3 linked regions of the Rhinolophus ferrumequinum genome follow. The protein of the gene in region 2 interacts with the protein of the main gene of each other region in a pairwise test. Links are inferred from orthologs where the notes say so. Each region holds a gene or a part of one and is shown on either strand. Other genes may lie near its edges.

The links. The genes of interacting proteins can lie anywhere in the genome.
Region 1: the proteins of CWF19L2 (region 2) and NAB2 interact in binary tests that used the Homo sapiens proteins (3 or more experiments, as listed by UniProt). The two-hybrid records come from large-scale screens. The link is inferred for Rhinolophus ferrumequinum from reciprocal best matches to the Homo sapiens genes CWF19L2 and NAB2.
Region 3: the proteins of CWF19L2 (region 2) and MAD1L1 interact in binary tests that used the Homo sapiens proteins (3 or more experiments, as listed by UniProt). The two-hybrid records come from large-scale screens. The link is inferred for Rhinolophus ferrumequinum from reciprocal best matches to the Homo sapiens genes CWF19L2 and MAD1L1.

Annotation. Positions count from the first base shown.
Region 1 is NC_046293.1:56,142,374-56,149,724, reverse strand, and holds the start of NAB2 (NGFI-A-binding protein 2), read right to left. Parts: upstream 3,001-7,351; 5' UTR 2,842-3,000; coding exon 2,759-2,841; intron 1,322-2,758; coding exon 448-1,321; intron 35-447; coding exon 1-34. UniProt on the Homo sapiens protein: Acts as a transcriptional repressor for zinc finger transcription factors EGR1 and EGR2. Isoform 2 lacks repression ability.
Region 2 is NC_046294.1:76,275,368-76,282,952, reverse strand, and holds the start of CWF19L2 (CWF19-like protein 2), read left to right. Parts: upstream 1-4,570; 5' UTR 4,571-4,600; coding exon 4,601-4,693; intron 4,694-6,289; coding exon 6,290-6,400; intron 6,401-7,170; coding exon 7,171-7,290; intron 7,291-7,585.
Region 3 is NC_046307.1:43,474,482-43,482,465, forward strand, and holds the start of MAD1L1 (mitotic spindle assembly checkpoint protein MAD1), read left to right. Parts: upstream 1-4,984; 5' UTR 4,985-5,124; coding exon 5,125-5,174; intron 5,175-5,640; coding exon 5,641-5,800; intron 5,801-7,984. Other genes in the region: MRM2 (rRNA methyltransferase 2, mitochondrial), read left to right, coding at 1,394-1,836. UniProt on the Homo sapiens protein: Component of the spindle-assembly checkpoint that prevents the onset of anaphase until all chromosomes are properly aligned at the metaphase plate.

The DNA.
Region 1 (7,351 bases), on a different chromosome or scaffold from region 2:
TGCAGAACTGGGCAGCAGCCTCATTGATGGTCAGCTGTGGACAAAACCGCCAGAGCAGTCAGAATCCTAACTCCCCACTGCCTGTCCAGATGTCCTCACAATCCTTCACCATCAGACAAATGAGGCCCACCCGTCAGATGCTTGCTTGGGTTTTGACACTATGCCGATTTCTGAGGAAGACAGAGGTCAGCACCCACAGCTTTTTAGGGGCCTGGAGCCTCCTTCACTCTTGTGTGGTCCTGAGCAGATAGGACAGGTAGGCTCTGCTTCCCCTCACTTGAGGAGGAAAGCATTGCAAGAGCTGGGGTTGGAGTGGGAGAGAAGGGGTCAGGGGCGGGGGTCCTGGTCAAGGGGTAATGAAACAGACTTGGGAGTGTGCAGATTCTCAGAGGTGAGTAGGTTGAGGCCTGGCAGCCAAGAGCAATCCTGGGAGGCTGGGGTCCTCACCTCATGCAGGCTGAGCTGCTTGCCCTCCCGCCGCTTAGAGTCAAAGCGGCCATAGATAATGCTGTATTTGCGGATCTCCTCCTCCTTCTGGCTGTCGTTATCATCCATCTCAAAGATATGACCCACACTCCGCGCCAGCTTCTTGTTCAGCTTCAGAAGGGAAGTCACCTCCCCAGAATCCCCCCTTGGGAAGCTCCGGAAGATTCTCTCCACACTCTCCACCACCATGCGGACCATCTCTGGCTCCAGTCTATCCGGACCACTCCCAGACCCAGTTGCTGCCAAACCCCCAGCCCCGTTCCCCTCAGGGACTCCTCCTGCTGCAGGTGGGGAGAAGGAGGGTGAGCCAGCCTCCTCTTCTCCTCCCACCCCAACATCAGACTCTGGAGTGCTCCGGCCTGGCCAGATTCGGGCATCCCCAGTCCCAGGTCCCCCAGGCAGTGGTGACAGCTTCTCTCCAAGTTCAAGGGGGCTCTTTGGGCTAAAACTGCGAGCACTGCCCGCCTTTTCCCCTGGGCTGCCATGCCCATTGCTCATGCTCCCTTTCCGGGTGCCTGCAGTCTCTGATATCTTGAAGAGCGGAATACTGGAGACTGGCACAGCAGGCACTGGCTGACTGAAGAGCCCTGGATTGGTGGCCCACTCTCTCAGTGCCTTCTGCAGGCGTCGGACATGGAGGGGCTTGGTGGCCATGCCCACAAGTGCCATGATTTCCAGGAACTCCTCCTCACCCGCCTCGCACAGTTGCTGCACGTCGTCCCCTCCCTGCTGGATGAAGGTCTCATAGTAGGAAAGAAGATTGGCGCGCTGCAGGACCCGGTACAGCTGCAGCTCCCCCAGTGTCCGAGGAAGTGCCATGGCTCGGGCACTAGGCCTGAGGAGGAGGAGCACAAGAGATAGAGGGGGGCAGTCAGTCCTCCTACTGGGTACCAACCCACACTCACAATTGTCTTCTTTCCTGCCTGCTCCTCTTCCTCTCTTTTGAATGCCCTTTCTGCCCAGTGCCCAGACTATGAGAATCAGGCACTGTTCAGAGGCACAGACACGCCAGTGCCATCCCAACTGACCAGAAGTACCAAAAGCCAGCCCAGTCTCTGCAGAAGTCAAAGTCTCTTAGCCTCTATCCACAGCTTTTACCTTTCTGGCCTGGGCAAGGAGACCTTGAGCACTGAGGCGAGTCAGCACACCCCAGGATGGCTAGTTCTTCTCCAGAACATGGTCCTCACCTTCCATTCTAAATACCAGTAGGTCTGCCCATTACTTGGTGATATCTCACACTGAGGTGAATGTAGGACACCCCCTTCCCATCCTCCCCATAGGGGATACCTTGGACCATTGCTGGCCAGCTTCACTCCCTAGTGGCATCCTGCCCATGTGCCTGAGAGGGGTGTGGCCCCTTAGCTGTCCTTTCCCATTCTGTGAGCCCGGTGGACCTCTGCTCTCCTCGCTACCCTCAGCTTTTTCCACCAGTTAGGCATTCTTAGCACACTCTTGCTCTCTCCTTCCAGGACCTCCCCTCTGCTCAGTGCCACCCCTTCCCCCTCTAGCCCCTCTCGCAGCAGTGACCTTCCCCAACTGCTCTGTAGGTAGGCCTGTCCCTTCAACTCAGGCAGGGGGGAGGGGAGGAGTGCCTCAATTGTTCTTCTCTGGGCCTGTTCCGCCCACACAAACTCCTACAGTGGTAGCGTCTGCAGGCGAAAACCGCCGGGGGGCTCCCGCCTACCCTCTCCCTTATTTTCCACCCACATCTCAAGTGGAGTGGGGGAGCGGCTCAAGTCCTCGTGAGGGAGGGGCTGCACGCCGAAACTCCCCTCCCCACACTGTAAATAAAGGTACAGAAAATCCGAAAGGACGCCTAGGGTATCCCCTGCTTCTCCACAGCCCCGTTGATACTCTCTTGGATCAAAAGCGCCGGCTTCTGCCGGATCCCTGGGCTCGCGTGCCCCATGCCAAAGACAGGCTGAGCCAGCGGAGCGGCCCTCCCCCGACAATGCTACCAGCTAGAGTTCCAAGGCTTCCCCTGGCGCTTGGGGGCCCCCACGTTCTTTGCAGGGGGCTCACATGCCAGGTCATGCCCATAGAGTAAACGGGGGATGAATTAGATACTGTTCTTTCACATCCAGCTTCATCAAATCTCCTGCCTGCTCCCAGAGCCCCCTAATTTGAAGACTCACCCCCTTTTCCATCAGTCTCCACCCCCCACCTCCGTCCCGCTTCCCCTCGTCCTCTCAGCGACCTCCGCCCTCCGGACCCCTTTCCGAGTCCAGCTCCACCCATCTCCACTCCCCGCCGCTTCCCTTTGCCCACTAACTTGAGTCTGGGCTGCGGAGTCCGGCGGGCGCTGTCCCCTCCGCCAGGCGGCTGCTCGGCTGTGGGGGAGGGCGCTCTGTGCATGGACGGCCGGAGACCACCGGGGCTACCACTCTTGATGCCCGGCGCTCGGCGCCTGGTGCGCGCTGCGCTCTTCCCGGCGCGCGAGGCCGTGTCCGCCGCGGTCCGGGCTCCGTCCCTCCCTCCACGTCTCCTCTCTCCAAGCCTCCGCGACTCTGTCTGTGCCTCTGCCCCCCCACTCCCCGGTTGCGCTTGCCGCCTCTCCGCGCCTCCGCCCCCGCAGGACGCACGGGGAGCGAGGCCCCGCGCGGTGCTGGCTGCTGGGCGGGCGGAGGGCGTGGGTAGAGATGGGGGCGGAGGCCGGGGGCGGGGGGCGGGCGCCCGGGCCTCTCCGAGGGCCTCGGAGACACCGCGACGGAGAGGAGAGGCGGAGACTGGGGGGGAGGGGGTGTACAGCAGGAGGCGGGGGCGGGGATTCGGAGCCGGGGCGCCGAGGTGGGACTAGGGTGACCGAGGCCGGGATAGGGAAGGCGGGTTTGGGGACCTAGCGGGAGGGGTGAGGTCGCTCCATGCCACCCACGCCGGATGCACAGCCGGCCCTCTTCTCGCCCACTTACCCACGTGAGCACCCAGGAGGCGACATTCCTCCCCCCTCCGCGCGGAGAGCGGAGTTTCTCAACCACGCACAGGTACACAAAGACACAGAGAAACGCACGGACGTACACACGCGCCTAAACAACTACGCGGACGCCCACTGCCCACACTCAGGACTCGCGGTGGTGGACGTGTGAATGTTAGGGGTGAGCCGAGCAAAGTTGGCGGAGTTTCAGGGTGCGCGGCTCCTCTCGTGCATGCATCTGATTCCCATAGTGTGTGCATTTGTGGCAGTTCTGTGCGATTGGGGCTTTGCAGGAATCTCTTAGGTATCCCAGCGCTCTTCTCCGGCCAGGAAAGGAGTAATTTGAAGAGACCACTTTGGGAAACCCAGGCCTTCCCCATCCCTGCCTCTAGTTCAAGCTGAAGTTCGGGGAACAGGAATGGGCGGGTTATGCTAGAACCTACCACTTAGACGCGTTCATTAGACGCGTAGGGTTTTGTTAGCGCATAGGTCAGGCAGGGAGGGGAGGGATACCCCGCCTTCGTCTACTATTCGTACCCTATTTGCCGAGGATGGGAACCTGGTCCTGGGGAATCCTGTGTGGCAAAGCTGGGATATGGAGAATACCCCTTCTGGGGGGACGTCTATTAGGGAACTTCGCTCGAGAGTCTAGTGGAGAGTCTAGTGGAGGCTGGGCAGGAGGCCGGGAGCCGATGGCGCGGCTCCCTACGGAGGAGCTGGAGGGAGGAGCTCCTTCAAGGATCCTAGCCCCTTCCACAACCCACCATCCCTCCCCCCTTTGTTTCTTCTAGCCCCATCTGGTTCCCATTACACTCCCGCCCACGGCTGGGAGGACTGGGTTGGGGACAGGCGGGGGTTCTGAGGGCCTGGCCCTGCGGCTCTAGGCCCAGAGGAAACGATGGCTGGGGGAAGGGGGAGGGAGACTGGAAGCGAACAGACTGGCCAGAGGCAAGGTTCCCTCGGTCTGAAGCCTCAACTCCGCCCCATCATTCCGCAGTTCTGAGTGGCCCGGGCCCGGCAGGGCGTGGGCGGCGTGTGCGGAGGCTGGTTCTACATTCCGGCCTGGCGAGGGGACCTTTCGGTCTCCGCTGGGGGCAGAAGAGGAGGGGTACATCACTGGAGGGATTTCAGTAGCTAAAATTCTCTTTCCCGCCCCATTAAGCCCCAACCCAGTGTGGGGTGATAGGACAAAGCTGAGTCCCTCCCTATCCCCTATCCCGCGACTGGGGGGCACGGCTAGACAGGCTCCTTGGGGGGGTACTCTCCGACCCCCTGTGTTCTGTGTGGGCGCCCTTCCCCCATCCCCCTCTGGTTATTTTGGAGTCTGGGCTGCCAGTCGCTGGCCGCGGGTTTCCACGTGCCTCCTCCCTCCCCCTGCCCACGCTCCCCGTGACGCACATCCTCCGCCCACGCAGCCTCTGCTGAGGCGCCCCCCTCCCTCCCACTTGGCCCTCTTGGGGCGGTGCTGAGCCCCCGTATCCTGAGGGAGACGCTGGACTGAGGAAGAGGGCAGTTACCCACTGGGCGCCGGGCGCCTAGGTCCCACCCCAGGAAAGAAGACGAGGGAGGAGCCAATTCAGAGGCTTTCACTCCTCTGTCCTGGGGCGGGTACTCGGCCGAAGAGGGGAGAAAAATCCCGCCGACAGAACCTGCCATCTCCCCTAGGTGTCTGTCGGCGTAGGAACCTGTGTGTGAAACTCCTGGGCGTTTCTATCTTTGTTTCTCAGGGTTGTCAGGAGGTTCAAATGAGAGGACGTATGTGAAAACTCTGTAAATACATTGTAAAATGCTAAGCAAATTTAAGATATTATAGCCAGTTCGTACTTCTGTAGCCAGAGACTATGTATTTATTTGTATGTGTTTCTTTACATCCACTGTGTATCTGTGCCTCTGTCTAGGTTTGTATGTGAGCCCCTATGTGTGGATTTTAAAATGTATACATTTAAAAAATCATTGACTTGTCAAGCCCCACCAAAAGCCCAGAGCACCCCCGCAGCCAGGGCTGCTGAGATGTCTGTTCTTTGCTTCCCTCCCACTTCTACCACCCCCATCTTCCCTCCTACTCCCTTCCGTTGAGAACAAGGAATTTCCAGTCTTTAGCAAAAGGAGAGACACAGAGACAGAGAGGCTGAGACTATGAGAAACTATAGAAAAACATAAAGATAAGGGGTGGTGTGTGTGTGGAAGATGACAAAAAGTGGGTGGGACAAAGATCTTCATTTCTTCTCGTTTTCTGCGTGGGCTCCATTTTCTCCAGGGTGGCCCAGGACCACTTCCCTACTTGACTTATCTGCTCCCCCCACCTCAGAGTTCTCATAGGCACGCAGAGCTACGGATCCCCTTTAATGAAATGATTTATTGTCAATGAATAATTTATTAATAAATAATTGACTAATTTATTGTCTATAGTGGAAGAGTCCAGGATGGGAAACAGTATCCTCAGTCCCAATTTTCCAAGAAAAGGGGAAAAGACGGTGAAGAAATTGGGTGAAAGAGGAGTGAGGAAATCCCGAACCTGGCGGACTCTCATTCCCAGGGATGTGTACATTTTAATTAGCAGATTGCACGTCTAACCCGCATCCCCTCACCCCGCCCAATTTTTCACCAGGCTGAATCCAACTTACTTTGCAAGGTCTGGCTCAAATGTCACCTTCTTGGACCCTCTCCTTCCTGTACTCCCTCTGGGCAGAATTGCTCCCATCCCTCAGTGGCCTCATGGCTCTGTGTACACTCACTTATAGTTGCTTGTTTCACCCATAGCCCAAGACCTCTGCGGGGTAGCTCGGGTATCTGGTGGGCCCTCTGAAACAAACGGGTTGATGATGCTATTTCTAGGCCCGAGCAACTCTGAAAAGGGCAATTGACATAGATTTTACTCCAAAAGGAGCTGAACGTGGGCAAAACTGTTTAAGTGGAGACATTTGTTTTCCATGTCTCCATCCTTCTTAAAGTTTCCAGCAAGTCTCACAAGTCTGGTTCCTTGACCTTCTAAAATGTCCACTATTCTGGTAAATTAATTCATGCCCAGGTGTTAAAGGTAGAAGGCTGAAATCTTTGCTGATAATAGAAAAATATAAAGTAATGATCCTTTTTTCCTTTTTCAGTAACATATTAGAATTATAGTCTAAGGAGTGTTATCCTTCAATTTAGGCATCTTTGAGGAGGTGCTTCACTGTGCCTCAAAAAGACAAAGGAACTGCCTTTAAGGAGCGCATAGACTCGTAGGGGAGATGATAGACGGATAAACAACTACAATGTAATGCAATAATACGGGGTACAAACGGTGCCATAAGTATAGGAAGCCAGTGATCTATTCTGCCTGGAGTTGTGAGGGACAGGTTTTGACAGACATCTAAAGGAGATGATGCAGCCTGGGATTCTGAAGTCTGAACAGATTTCCAGAAGGAAGCCACAGTCAAGTCAGAGAGAGCAGAATGTAAACTTACCTGGAAGTATGAAACAATATGTTTGAGAAACTAGAAATTGTTAATTATTGCTGGATGGGTGGTGGTGGTACTTAAAAAGGAGCCCAGGGAGGTGTACGAGGCCATTAAGGATATTATAGACTAGGGCTTCTCAAACTATAGTAAAGGACCAATTTAAGAAATCCCCATCTATTGTCCACTACGTCTATAAAATACACAAAAAGTGAGTTAGTAGAAAAATGAAATAAAATCCCCATTTTTATTAGATTCAATAAATATAAAACTTTTCTGTCAAATTGCTATAAAAGTTTCTAAATGCTTACACTTAATTTCTGAAATTGTTTCATTGCAGATTGGTAACAAACTTTGAATAACATTGCTATAGTTGTGTCTTTACATCTACCTTTCAGATCATAGTAAGGACCCTGGGCTTCATCACAGGAGATACTGTAGAACCATAAAGACTTTGTAACATGGGAGTGACATATTCAGATCTGCATTTAGGAGTAGTGTGGAGGAAGGGCTTTAT
Region 2 (7,585 bases):
TACAGGTTTGCAGTTTCTTCCAAGCTGAACATAGTTTTTACCATACGATTCAACAATTACATTCCTAGGCATTTACCCAACTGATTTGAAAACTTGTGTCTACACAAAACCTTGTATGTGAATGTTTATACAAGACCTGACAATTAAGTTCACGAACTTGTTGTAAGTGTTGCTAACCTTTTTTTTTATATCAGAGGGATTATTTATTATGAATTTGTACCAACTGGACAAACAGTTAACCAAAGTTATTATTTGGAAGTGTTGAAAAGGCTGCGTGAAAAAGCTAGATGACCTGAACTTTTTGCCAACAGTTCATGGCTCTTGCATCACGACAATGCACCAGCTCACACGGCACTGTCTGTGAGGGAGTTTTTAGCCAGCAAACGAATAACTGTATTGGAACACCCTCCCTACTCACCTGATATGGCCCCCAATGACCTCTTTCTTTACCCGAAGATAAAGGAAATGTTGAAAGGAAGATATTTTGATGACATTCAGGACATCAAGTGTGTTACAGCCACAGCTCTGATGGCCATTCCAGAGAAAGAGTTCCAAAATTGCTTTGAAGGGTGGACTAGGCACTGGTGTTAGTGCATAGCTTCCCAAGGGGAGTACTTAGAAGGTGACAGTAGTGATATTCAGCAATGAGGTATGCAGCACTTTTTCTAGGATGAGTTTGCAAACTTAGTTTTCTGACCTCGTTGTAGATTTATTTATAACTACCCCAAACTGTAAGCAACCAAGATGTCTTTTAATAGGTGACTGGATAGATAAATGATGGTACATCCATACAGTGGAATGCTATTCAGTGATTGAAAAAAAAGCTATCAAGACACAGAAACACATGGATGAACCTTAAATTCATATTGCTCAGTAAAAGAAGCCAGTCTATAAAGGCTACATACTGTATGATCCCAATTATATGACATTCTAGAAAAAGTAAAACTACGGAAACAGTAAAAAGAGCAGTGATGGCCAATTGTTTGAGGGAAAGTAGGAAGGTTGAATAGGTGAAACATGGGATATTTCAGGGTGGTGAAACTATTTGTTGTGATATTCTACTGGTGGATACACAACATTGGCATTTGTCAAAACCTATAGAAGTATACAGCACCAAAGTGAACCTTAATGTTTGCAACATTTAAAAAAATTCTATAGGAGGTGTGGGGATTCAAGAATGAAATGCAGAACAACACAAAAGAATGTGTTTCAAATGTAGGAAACAACTTCATTGAAGGGGGTGGGGGAAAAGGTGCTGACATAAGTAATTTTGGAAATGAGTGAAGTCTGTAAGACTAAAATAAAACTATATATAAGCACTGTAATTTAATTGATAAACTTGAGCTGAATAATTAAACGGATGGAGGACTGTGGGAGCCTGGTTTCTCATTGCTGGAATGGGAATTTACAGATAGGCAAGAGGAGGCTAGAATGATCTATGTGGCAATAGAATGGGTAATATCAGTATGAACTCATGTATCTTAGTATAGATACAGACGGTCAAACAGAAATGTGTACACACATGGGTTGGAATATAAACATATTCATCTTTGTCAGTTAAGGGGCCTAGAAGGAATAACACTCCAGTAGCACTGAGCACAGTTTGCGTATCTTAGTTTCTAATACCATTCTCCAAGAAAAGGCACCAGAGCTTTTTGGAGAAATGATTGATTCTAGAACTGAGACAGGAAATACACAAGATGTGTCTGGAGCATCTTGTCACGCCAGACAGTAAGGAAGTGCTAAAACAAAATTAAACCCTATAATGATGAGGGCCAACCGAAAGAGCTCCCAATGGCCAGAGGTGGAACAATTTGAATAAGAAAATAAAATAGCATTGGATTTTAACCAAAAGTGTAAAATAAATATCCACGAGTCCATATTGATAAATAAATAATTGCATAACTAAATAAATGGGGGATAAGAGACAAATTTCCTATGCAGAAAAATTTGAAATAATTGATGTAGATACTCCATGCTGAAGAAGGTGCAACATAAACCCCTACTCCTTACATGTTAGAGTCACATAGTGACTTTCTTCCAAAGACTACAGTATGGAAAGGGAGGGAAAAAAAGAGCAACTTTACAGTGCAGAAACCTGACAAGTACGACCTCAGCCAGGTAATCAAGATTAACATCCTCAATGATAATCATGAGAAAAATCCTAACTCAGGTGCATTCTACAAAAATACCTGACCAATCATCCTTAAAATTGCAAAGGTCATCAAAACAAGAAAAGTTTGAGCAACTGTCGAAGGCCTGAGGAGCCTAAGGAGAGATGATGACTAAGTGTAATGTGATTAACTGGGTGGGATACTGGAACAGGAAAAGGACATTAGGTAAAAAAGGCTAAGGAAATTTAAATAAAGCACAGTCAAATCTGGGACAATTTGAGAAAATAAATATTGTTAATGTATTATCCCTCCGAATAAAAATATGAATCTATTGAATAAAACAAATCATGAGTCCAGACTGATATAAAATGAATAATTTGAAAGTTTGATGAGGAATTTGCATAGCTTTAAGAACTGACCCCCAAAATACTTGTTAATTACAAAGGGAAAAGGAGTAACTTTGCAGTGAAGTTTGGCAGACAACACTTTATTGAAATGTTCAGAGTTAGCATCACTGGAAATGGAACAAATGGAAATTGTGTGTTACTTGATAGGACGCAATGAGAATAGTCACACTTCTTAATAGTTCTGCTCGAAATGCCTAACCTGAGTCCAACCACAAAGAAACCTCAGGCAAACCCACGTTGAGTGTCATTCTATAACATCTGTCCTGGAATCTTCATGACTCTTTTATAGTGAGTTGTGTTCACGTGACCTATTTCTGGTTCACAAGATTTAAATGGAAGAAACTGGACTAGGCTTTAGGAAAAGTCATAAATTTTCTTAAAAAGGGGTAGACTAAGCTGGCATACACTTTTTGCCCTTTGTTCTACCCTTTTATTCTTACATCTTATAGATGCTATGCATAGATATGGAGGAATGCAATGCATTCCTTGTGATTGTGAAGAACTTAAGTCACAGATTAAGTGTTACAAAGCAGAAAAGGAGAAACAACCTGATTTCTTCAGCAATTTCACCATAGCTTCATGCTCTGTACTACATTTTCCCTTGTTTAATTAAATCATGGATGTCTAGTATCAGATGTGGCCAAATGCAAACTAATCAAAACAACTTCCTTTTCCCTTGTTTTTCTATATCAACCTATCTACTTCCCCTTCCTGATCCCAACATTTTTTTTGTTGGTCGTTTTATTGGTCTTGCCCTGTATTTACAAATTCACTTATGGACATCTGTTTTATGATGTTGAGCCTTCTTGAAGCACATGATATACCTTTTCATTTGTTCTAGTCTTCTTTTGTGCCTCAAGTAGGATTTAAAAGTTTTTGTCATAATTTTGCATGTTTCTACTATAAATACTATTTGTTCTTATTTGCCACATAATTGATGTGGGGTGGGGGAGACGTTTTTCCCCAAAAGAATCTGAAAAGACTTTTAATGTTATTTTAGTTAGTAATAAAAAAAATCAGTCAAGGTATAATTAAGGGGTTAAATATTTCAAGGTCAATTTGTAAATTAAAATTCACTTTTCTGTAACAAAAATACAATGTGTATATTCTATTTTACATATCAAACAAGTAAACATTACATGCTCAAGGTCAAGATTTTTACAGATTGGTAAAGCAGAAACTCCTGGGAAAGCTTCGTGCAAACACAAATTTAAGTTTACAAAACCTGGAAAGAAAGCATATTTATTTAATCTGGTTTATACTATTTTTAATGTCTTTAAGGTATCTAGTTTATATTTACTCTCCGGCCTTCTTTATCTTTGATTATAAGTGTGAATTCAGTGTGTTGTATTCTCAAAACCCTTGAACAGTACTTCAGAATGTCTTCATGGAACTTAAAGTTTGGAAGATACAAACATAAAACAATAAAAATCACACAAATAGGTAATTGCACACTGTCATGAAAAATGATTGGATGGATCTGAGCAAATAATACGAGATTAAATAAAAATGTAACATTTATTAACAGCTTAAATAAGTACCGATAAATTATGGAGTACAGTACAACACTCACATGACTGTTTCATATACTGGGAAAAAAAATCCACCAAAGCAAACCACCGAATCTTCAAAGCAATTTTGCCCTTCCGACTACCTTTCCGGCCAGCCTCCCGTCAGTTCATTCCTCCAGCACAGGGAAATTCTTTGGTTAGAAGGGCCCTTTGGTGGAAAACTTTTGAGATGTACGAACTTAACCTGTATGAGCTTCTAACTTACTCCGGGGATTTTAAGAGGAAATAGCTGAGAATGCTATTATCGTGCAAAGCGCATAATAAATGTATAGCGACATTAATCCTGCTCAGGGCGATCCCAATATACGAAGAAGGACAACTCCTCACTTTAATCTTCAAGTCTCTAAAACCTGGCGTTGGAGTAACCACAGGAACCAGATCCGCGCATGCTCTCTTGGTGGAACTGCGCCGGTTCTCTCCCTAGTCGGAAGTCCGGTTTGTTTATTAATTACGACAGTCGTAAACTAAGACTTCGTGATGGTTTCCTACTTTTACGACATCAACAACTATGGCGGCTGCCAGTGGTCGGTTTGAAAGTGAGAGGAGTATCCAAGAGCGTAAAGAGCAGACACGGATAGCCAGGGCCGAGGTGTTGCGCCAGGTAACTCCGTTTTGGGGTTTTGGGAACCATTTAGAATTGTGGCTGTTTCCTGGGAGCTAGGCCTCTGGCTCTCCTTCCTCCCTACCCCTTTTCTTCTCTCTCCATCAGTATCTCACCTTATCTGGGTCGAAACGGGGGGGGCGGTCTCCCTGTGGGATGCCTGCAAATTTTTGAGTATCTTCTCCCTCTTAGATGCTCTGGCAGGCTCCAATTGCTCATTTTCTTTTCAGGAAGACCTGTTTCTTTCCTCTGAGTTTCATTAACTTTTTACATAATGCGTTGACATTTCTATCACCTGGGCTGCGCACTTTCGAGGGACTACGCAACTAATGAGTCTCCCCAGCGTATGTCCCAGCCCCAGCCCTTACTCCTGCTGTTTGTGAAATGAAAATGTTCGTTTTCAGGAACACATGTAAGGCGCATTGGAGTAAATTGCGTTTGACCGTTTCATTCTCCTTTTGTACTATGGGTATCAGTTCCTGGCTTATTGTAAACCCTTACCGACCCAAACAAGGGTTGACACAACAGACCCAGGAAATTGCACCCCTTGAAAAAGACTGACAAACTATTTCTCATTAAGATTGAGATGCAGAGAGGTAACTTATAAAGAATGGAGGAAGTAAACTATGGAATTATCTGACAAAATGTAGGAAGTGTGGCAATGAAGGGAAAAATGAAGCAGAGAGCATCATAAAGTGTAAGTGAGAGTTTTTGTTTTTATTTGTTTTAAGATGGAAGAGTTTAAACGAGTTTAAATGCAGATGGGAAGTAGCAGGTAAAGGAGACAGGAAGGAGAAGATGTAATGACTACAGCCAGATTTTAAAGGGGAAGAGCGAGTGGGTGATTAATCTTAGACAGGTGAAAGGTCAGTATTGTTTTTTGATTTCAGCATATGAAACATATGTGTAACAAATATTTTTTATTTTTGTCTCTCTGATATTTCAGGCAGTGTTTGGAGGCAGTAGGTTTTGTAAGCTGTGATAAATTTTATAATAGAGATAAGCATAGAGTTTGAGAAGGACCAAGCCCAGCTTTCGAGTTTGGGAAGAGAATGAAAAAGCAGGAACAACCTTTTAGGAAGAACTTTATTTGAATATTGTTGAAGGATGAATAAAAATTCGCAATATGATCATTTTGTTTTTAGAAAGATGATTTTTCCTGAAGCATTTTTGGGGAGTGAGTAGAGAGTTATGGGCATTGCTGATGGAATGTATGGGGTATGGTGGTCATTCTCCTAACAATTAAAAATGTCTCAGGCGGTAGCACTGGGATGGTGAAGGGAAAAGAGTTTCAAGTCATACTTGAGATTGGAATCTTAAGGAAAGGGGAGGGTCTAGAATAGGTCCCAAGATTCTGTCCTTGATTGGTGGCTCTATTCACTAGAGATTCGTAATGGGCAAGGAGAGGGTCTTTTGTTTGTTTTTTTGTATTTTTGAAAATCTTTCCTACACTTTGGTAGAAGCGTAGGAAAAAATTACTGGTAAGAGACAGACTGTTGATTCATGAGAACATGTATGAAAGTGGGAGATTTTGTTTTACTTTTTTGTGAAACGCAGTTGGATCAATTGTTAATTTTTCTTTTTTCAATATTTTAGGCTAAAGCTAATTTTGAAAAGGAAGAAAGACGTAAAGAACTTAAACGACTTCGAGGTGAGGATACATGGATGTTACCTGATGTGAATGAGCGGATTGAACAATTCTCACAGGTGAATACTGTCAGGTCTACTTGATGTAAACACGTCGGACTGTTTCTGCATTTAATCTTGCAAGTTAATCTTGGAGGAGCAACTTTATAGACGGTTTTCAAGTTACAGAATGAATATCACATAGTGGGCATTACAGAATAGTTTTATCTCTTTGGCAGAAATAATATATTTTAATATTTTGGATATTGTGACTTTGGGTAGATTTTGTTACTTGAGTTGGCTGGTAGAGTTTCTGGCCCACTTGTAAGCTTATGGGTCTAAAAATGTATGCGTTTCAAGCTTAATGTCATGTGGGTTTTTCGTTTTTCTTCTTGTCTCAATTCTTGTTTTCTCTTTCCGTAATTTTAATTTATGCTATCTTGTTATATTTTAAATGTCCCAATAATCTTCTATAAATTCTTTTGGGGCCATAGAAGATATATACATATAAATGCATACACACATAAGTTTGTGTATATATGTTTTTATTTGATTATATCTGTTTGTCAAGTGAATCTACAAATAAATGAAAACTTCCCTCATATTTTTGGATAAGATATCTCAGCTCTATGATTTATTAGTAGTGCGTGTATTATAGAAGCATGTTAAGTTTTCTTAGAAGATTTTGTTCATGTAGTCATATTTCTTGTCTTAATTCATAAAAAAATTAAATATTTTTGGAACAGATTTTTTTTCTCTTAACATATTTCCTTTTAAAGTAAGATAAAACTAAATTCCTTTCTTAGTTTTGAAGAAGGTAATTCTTACCTCTTCAAAATGATTATTTATAGGAAAACTCTATGAAGAAAAAGAAGAAAAAAGACAAGCGTTCAAAAAAAGTAAAGAAAGAGAAGAAAAAAAAGAATAAGAAACAGAAGCATGAAAAAAACGAGTCAACTGATAGTTCATCAGTACGTATGTACTAAAACTAATCAAAGCACCTACTTGAGAAAATTTTATTTAAAGAAATAGTGTATGAGAACTTAAAAAATATTACCAGTTAGGATATGAAAAAGCTTGGGAGACATTTACTTGGAGATGTCAAGGAAATATTGGAAATAAGAATCTTAGGTTACAGAGAAAGGTAAGAAGATGGAGACGAAATTTGGGAATCATTGCTTATTAGAATAAGTGAATTGCCTCAGGAAACTGAAAAGAAAGATAAACACCAACACTGAGGAGCCAGACAGGAAGTAAAAGACATAA
Region 3 (7,984 bases), on a different chromosome or scaffold from region 2:
AAAATTGGGTGTTGAAGGAGAGGGTATAAGTACCTGAGTGAGATGTCAGATGTCCCACTGAACAGGGCTGAGAATGGAGGGTTTGCACCTTTGGAAAATGTGCTCTGCAAAATACCTAGACTTCTAATCTTTAGATAGAAATAAAACACACATTTCCCTCCTCCCCCAGTGGAGCAGCCTTTTTACTAAACAGACTGAACTAGCAAATCTATGACTGTACCCTTATCAACCCTGAGGGGTATCAGCAGAGCAAAGCCCTCAGTGCAGGGAAGCGACGCAGAGAGTGGGTGCCAGGGCCTGTGAAGACTGAGGTCTTGAATATGGGTGCCGCCTGAGAGGAGGGGAGGTGGAGTCTGGGGACAGCAGTCGTGCAGGCAGCAAGTTGCTTTAGGTGCAACGGTGACCTTGAATCTCACAACTGTTGTTACTCAAATACGGGCAAGGTAGCAATGTTTGGACCTTATGTTGCATCTCCCCTCCCCCCCCCCCCCCCGGCTTGTTTCTAGCAGTTTCTACATGTAAAGAAATTGGATTAAGCTGCAGAATGGATTTGTTGATTTAGTCCAGAGGCACTTGATATACTAGTGTGTCATTTTCTGTTTTAGTTTATCAAGAAATGCACTCAGAGATAAGAACCCTTAGGGAGAGCAGCCTCGGGGAGTGAAATGAAATCAGAGTTGGAGTGGAGTCCTGTGGTGTGGCCCCAGGTCTGCCTTCCGCTCTGGGGCAGTCACTTTGCCTCTCTGGCCCTGGGGAGTGAAGGACCATCATTCCTCCACCATGCGTTTTTTTTTTTTTAAAGATTTTATTGGGGAAGGGGAACAGGACTTTATTGAGGGAACAGTGTGTACTCCAGGACTTTTTTTCCAAGTCGAGTTGTTGTCCTTTCAATCTTAGTTGTGGAGGGCGCAGCTCAGCTCCAGTTACTGTTGTTAGTTGCAGGGGGCGCAGCCCACCATCCCTTGTGGGAGTCGAACCGGCAACCTTGTGGTTGAGAGGACGCGCTCCAACCAACTGAGCCATCTGGGAGCTTAGTGGCAGCTCAGCTCAAGGGGCCGTGTTCAATCTTAGTTGCAGGGGGGCAGGGCCCACCATCCCTTGTGGGACTCCAGGAATTGAACTGGCAACCTTGTGGTTGAGAGCCCACTGGCCCATGTGGGAATCGAACCAGCAGCCTTCGGAGTTAGGAGCATGGAACTCTAACCGCCTGAGCCACCAGGCCGGCTCCCACCATGTATTTTTGTAGGATGTATAGAAAGTGGGAAAAGATCCGTGTCCACATATTTGCACATTAGCTCTTTTCCTTGGTCCTGACTTTATTACTTTGTTCCATGTATTTTTGTGGGAAGATTCAGGGTGTAAATAAATAATGCACTCACCATTCCTTCCTTAGAGGCCAGCGCTCCTGTTGGCTTTGTGCTTGGGGTAGATCTTCTTCACATATCACCCCTGGAAGGAGCAACGTTTTTGTGCCCTGCTAATGTGACTGACCCGGGAACCTTCCAGAGAATCCAAGAACTGCTTCCTGGTGGGAGAGCAGATGTGATTCTGAGTGACATGGCACCCAATGCCACAGGGATCCGGGGCCTTGATCACGACAGGATCATTGGCCTGTGCTTGTCCCTCCTGGACATGGTCCCAGACATCCTGCTCCCTGGGGGAACACTCCTTTGTAAAACCTGGGCTGGAAGTCAGAGCCATCGCTTACAGAGGAGACTGACAGAGGAATTCCAGAACACGAGGACTGTGAAACCAGAGGCCAGCAGGAAAGAATCATCAGAGGTATACCTCTTGGCCACACAATACCGGAGAGCAAAGGGGTCTGTGAAGAACTGAGGTTTCTTCTGCCATTTCTGGTCCTTTTCGCTGCATATGTAGGCTGTGCGCTTTCCTGAAATGTGGCAAATGTGGGGTGGGGCGAGGTCCGAGCTAGATCTGGGATGCAGCAGGCAGGATAAGTGGGGGACCTTTTGGAAAACAAAAACATAGGACAGACTATATTCAGTGGCCATGACAGACGATAAAAAACAGACTGAGGGAAGGATAAAAATGATTGTGCTGAGGCAGAGCTGAAGATAGACATGAACACCTTCACGTTACTTGCTCATCTTACAGACTTAGCTAATTACAGAGAAGCAGGTTTCCACCATTGCTCTGAGAGCACAACACAGGTTTCCAGTTGTTGTTTGGCTATACAGTATTATGCGGAAAAACCTGAAATTTCAATCTGGGGATTAATTTCCATCTCTCTAGTGAATGATCTGGAAACACATCAGTTTGTTAAGCAGCAAGAATTCCCAGAGCAATTAGGGCAGACATTCGGTATGAATTTATGCGTGGGGCGGGTGCGCTTTCATTTTTGCTGGAAATACACGTTGCTGTACTACTCCAGGCTCCCTAGACAGTAAAAGTAATTGCCAAAGCAAGCAGCGATGTGGTGTTGATTTATTTTCTTTTACTCTTCCAGGAACTCTGTACAGCTTCATAAAAGAATATAGATTGTATTATCTTAAGGGATTTCCATGCTTTTAGTTTTTTTTTTTTAATTTCTGGTTTCTTCATAGCCGTTTCCTGGAGGTGTGCTCATCCCTCTAGTAGAGTTTATCAACTATGATGCTGATTGAATCCCAAGGAGCAGTGGGGGAAAGGATGCCCAGGAGTTTCCATCAGGGTCCCAGCTTGGTCCAGCTGCCTGGCTGCAGGCAGCAGTTTTTTTGTTTTTCATTTTCGATTGCAGCCAGCTACTTAAGTCCAGGGAACACTGTTCTACCAGCACCACAAGCTCTCCCCATCCCATTGATTCCGGCCACACAAATTTGTTTTGTCTTCTGGAAGAAGGGAATTCAGTGAAGACGCTGGGCACGTAGTCCGTAGCCCGGGATGGGCAGGAGGAGGGGATGGAATTCAAAAACCGGGCGGGATACGTGCTCCCGGACAGACCGAGGTTGCAGTCATTCCAGGAGGGGCCACTGGCCGTCGGCTGCCTGTGCCCCGGACAAAGGGGACCTAGACGGGAGCCCGCGCCTCGACGTGGGAGGGCAGTCTAGGAGCATAGCAGTTTGCTTTTCCCAGTGGTTCCAGATACAAGTGAAAGAACGCATTCATTCAAGTAAATACTGTGCTAGCAAGATTTTGGGACTAGCCAAGCCTGGACAAAAGTTTGGCCCTACGAGGACCCTGGGCGGTGCTATTCTACAGAATACGGCGCGAGGCAGCCGCCCTACTGGAAGCCTGTCCTGCGTGGAGCTGGGGCAGCCCGCTGGCCCCGTGGGCCGGCCCTGGGTTCCGAGCCCTCTCGGACCCGGGTTCCCCGGCGGCGCGCGGATCTGGGAGCCTCCGCGGAGCCTGCAGGACCGGCCGGTGCGCAGCCCCGGAGCATTACGGCCAGCCGCGCCCAGGTCTCGCGAGAGCTCAGCCTCACGTCTCGCGGTGCGCGGGAACGCGAGGAGAGGAGGGAGATCCGAGCGGCGACGGCGGCCGCGCGCTGACGGGGCCGGTGAGGTGAGGCGAGGCGAGGCGAGGCGAGGTGAGGGGCCGGGCCCGGGTGGGCGCCCGGGAGCCGGGCGGGGCCGCGCCGGGGGTGGGCGTTGTGGTGCGGGGCGGCCCCGAGCGCCGGGACCGGCGCTGGGCTGCGGGCCGAGGTCAGGCTGGGCGCCGCCCCCTGCGCCCTCGCCCCGGCCGGGTCCGGAGCCGGCGCCCCGTCGGCGTCCCCGCCGCCCCGCGTCTGCCGTCCGCGCCCTCGGCCTGTGCCCGTGCGGCCTTCCCGCTCCGTCGTCCCGAGCCCCGCTTCTCTCGGCGTCCCTGCGGCCCCCGGGCTTCCTCTGCGGGAAGGAGCAGCCGGCGTGGCCGGTGTCGGCGGGGCCGGAGAGGGCGCGGGGCAGGCAGCCACGGTCGGGGGCTCAGCTGCCGGGGCCGAGGCGGCCGGCGGCCTCCCGGAGCCGCGCTTCCCGGGAGAGCCGCGCCGCAGCCTCCCCTGCGCGTCCTCCGGGCCGGGCGGCCTCCTGCCCGTGCCCGTGGAGGGCGGGGAGTCACCCGCCCCGCGCCCGCGCCCCGGCGGAGCGGCAGCTTGCGCGTCGTCCGAGGCAGAGGCCGCTGGCGCGAGCGGGGGACGTGTCGGGCGGCGCAGGGCCCGGCCGTGGGGTGGCGGGGCCTGCGGGGAGCAGGTGAGATGCAGTGGTGGGGGGGCCGGAAGGTCGGAGGCTCGGGGTCCCGAGGACCGAGTGGGAGCTGCCGCCTTAGCCCGAGCCGCGGCGGTTGACAGCGTGCGCGGTTCACCCCAGTGCTGCCTGCGCGGCTCTCACGGGATGGCGCGTCGTGCGGAGAGGACAGACTGGCCGCATTTCGTCCCCTCTGCGCGGGAAGCGTGGCCCTGGCCTAATGGGGCTCCCGGCCGGCCGGAGTGTGGGCTCCGCGGGGCACGGCTCTGCCGCCCGCCCGCGCCGGGCAGGCCTGCCCCTGCGGGCGCCCGCACTCGGACGGCCCCCGTGCCCCCTGTTGCGGTCGTTCTCCGCTGTGGTAGGAAGAGCGGTGGAGAGAACAGGTGCGATGTGCAGGGAGGAGGCGCGGGCGCTGCGTGCCAGGCCAGGCGCTCGTGAAATGGGAAATTCAGAATCAAACTGACATGCCTCACCTGTCTTTTTTGGGAGGGAGGTGTTTTCCACGGAATACTCGGGGAATCAGAGCCAGCTTTTCCGGAGAGAAAAAAAGTCATCACCTGTAGGAATTCACACCTTTGGGCTGTGCCTGGGAGCCCCCCTCCTCCATCAGGCAGGGCTGTGGACAGGCTGGTGTGAGGCCATCATAAGCTCAGGTTTGGGGGTGCAGGTCGTTTGCTGGTGCTTGTCCTCAGCCCTCTACGCGTTGGCTGTGGAGCACACTCCACCTTTGGAGCCACAGACCCAGGTTCCAAACTCAGTTCTGGAACGTTTCGAAGCCTTGTGTTATATCATCTCTAAAATACGTGCAAAAAGACCTAATTCGTCCACCTGTGGTGAAGATTGAGCTGTCGTATGTCAGACTACAAGCAGAATGACAGTCAAACGGTGTCAATAGTTGCACCGTCTGCCACTTGAAGACTTCCTACAGACACTGTAATCTTCACAACTACTTGCAAACGTGGGTTTCATGACCTCAGTTACAGATGAGGAAACAGGCTTGAGGAGTCTTGCTGCCCTGTACGTGTCAGACACCTTTTTATTGGTAAACGGGTGAAAATAGCAGTAATTTATTAACGTCATTGTTAGCAGCTAGTTAGCATTGCTGTGCTCACCATCAGCCTTATTGCCAGTGTTGGGCGCGTTGTTTCCGAGTCCCAGAAGCTAGCTTTTTGTGAGTGCTTAGTGGGAGATGTACCGCCTGACTGCTGACCACCGTCTCCTGGGAGCTGTCTGTCTGTCCTGCTGGTGTGCAGGTCATCACTGACAGTCAGTGGCGTGGCGGGTTGCCTTTTTATGCCTCCATTTCCTCTGGCACATCAGCAGTGTGGGCTCCCAGATAACCCTGAAGAATGTGCTTACGGACACTGGACTGTTTTAAAGGCTCTGAGAGAGCGTTGGGGCGGGGGGTGTCTCTGGGCCGCTGGCAGAGCTGAAGTTGTACAGAAAGGCTTGCTGTGACCTCTCCCTTCTCTTCTTCCACAAGGGACGTGGCCATGGAAGACCTGGGGGAAAACACCACTGTCCTGTCCTCCCTGAGATCTTTGAACAACTTCATTTCCCAGCGAGTGGAAGGAGGAGTTGGACTGGATGTTTCCACCTCTGCCCAAGGTTCTCTGCAGATGCAGTACCAGCAGAGTATCCAGGTGAGTGCCGTGTGTCGGGGTGGGGGCTCTGGACGAAGATACCTGTCCTCAGGGGGGGGCCTGTTCAAGTTCTGTGTGGTGCAGGTGAGTGCCGTGTGTCGGTATAGGGTTCTCTAAATGTTGGCACTGGGGTCTCATAAGTAAAGATGCTTACCCTTAGGTAGGACCTGTTCAAGTTCCACATAGTTTAGGTGAGTGCCACGTGCTGTAATAGGGGCCTCTCGGTAAAGAGTCCTGACCTTAGATAGGCTGGTTCAAGTTCCATTCACGGCAGGTCCTCGAATAATGTCGTTTTGTGGTGACATTGATGAAATGTCGCAGGAACTTTTGTTTATATCAATTAGCTTGTGGTAAAGCTGGTTTCATTACATGTCATTTTGCTCAGTCTCAGAACCTGTGGATGACACGCAGTGAGGACTTCCTGTAGCTGAGGCGGGCCAGTGTTTCCTCAGCCTGGAGGCCAGCTGGCTGTTCCCCAGATCTCTAATGTGGGGATTCACAGTTTGGGAAGGTAGTTGGAAGCCGTTGTCTGGCCCTGAACTGTCCCACTTAAAAGTCTGGTGTATCAGCACCCAGAGTGGGTCTGGTGCTCGGTGTGGCAGTCACATTCATGAGCTCAGACGCTAACGATAGGATCGGAAGCCGCTTCATTCATTTAATTGGGGGAAACCCAGACTGCCTGAGAGCACGAGCACTGATTTTCCAGCCAGCTGCTGGTTCCCCTGAAGGGGTAACACATGGGAAGGCTGTGTTGTAAACACCGGTCCTTGGTCAGCCTGGCGGGAAAGCCATGGCCGTGAGCGAAGGACTGGGTATGTCATGGTCTCAGACTGTGGGGGCCATTTGCAGATCTTGGCTTCCATCTGCCATGGGGTGATTTTTACAGTTTTACTCTGCCATGATTTTTACAGTTTTACTCTGATTCTAGTTTTATTTCACTTTGTTCCAAGTTCTTGGCAGTGCTCAGTGTAGACACAGTTGTAAGGGGTCAGGTCTCCTGAACCACTTCCAGTTCTAGAGAGTTGTGGTCAGTTCCAGTGCGGCAAGGCTCACTGGGTCCGTGCAGGGCTGGGGTGGGGTCTGCAGCCTTGCCAAGGACCGCTGTGTAGGCGGCCCTGATGTCTCTGCTGTGGTCCTCCTTTTCTGTCCACGCCACGTGTGCTGCTGGAGCCTTTCTAGCTGGTGTCCTCTGTCGGACATGGCTTCCTGTTGCTCTGGGAGCCCCGACAAGGCCCAGGCAGAGTGAAAGCCGGTGTGTTTGTACGCATCTGTAGCATGGAATTACCGTATGTTTGTTAGTGAACTAAGTTGCTTACCGTCGTTTTTTGGCCAGGACTGGTCTTTATTCTGAAATTTGCTCTTTTACTTTTGCTTTTGGTGTTAAAAAGCTTTTCTGTGAAATGATAGTGGTAATAGATTGTAGTTTTCTTTGGATCCTTGCTCACTGGTCCAAAAAAGTTATAATTTTATTGATGCAAATGCCTGGGAACGTTTGGCCTGTCTGTTAGCACTACAGAATCTAGAATTTTGGAGGTCCCAGTTCTCACTCAGCTAGTAGTGCTCTAAGGCTCCCCCAGGGAGGGGGTCAGTGAATGAGTGGCAGAGCCAGAGTGAACTGGTCAGTCAGGCTGCCCAAGTATGTGCCCCAGGACCCTGACCTGTCCCAGGACCTTGGTCAGTGGCTCTGGCCTTCTTCTTGTGCCTTCCCCAACTGGCAGGTGAGGGAACTGAGAAGCTGCAGGTCTGCGGAGCCTGGAGGCAGAGGTCAGTATTTCTTGCCCACCAGGCCTCTCCCCTTCCCATTTTTTAAGGTTCCTCTTTCCGTTTGATGGTGTTTATGGTCTGCTCTGCTACACATCAGTGTTTGTGCAAATACACAAATAATGTTTCAGTTATTTTCCTTCAAATACAGTCAGAACATGGCCCATGAATCACCGGCTGTGTGTGTGGGACTCCTGGTCCCTTTGCAGCGGTGCCCCCTAGAGCTGAAGTCCTAGCTGCAGACATAGTGAGACGAGGAAGGCCGTTGAGTTTGATGGAGTGTAGAGCTAGGAACCTCCACCAAATGTCACCAGGTGGGCATTGAAATGAGCAAGTATCGGAGGGTAAAGGAAGTGTGGACTCGGACCCGCAGTGAATGTGGGGGAGGGGGTGGAGAAAATGCCTCTTCTCTGACCGGGATTT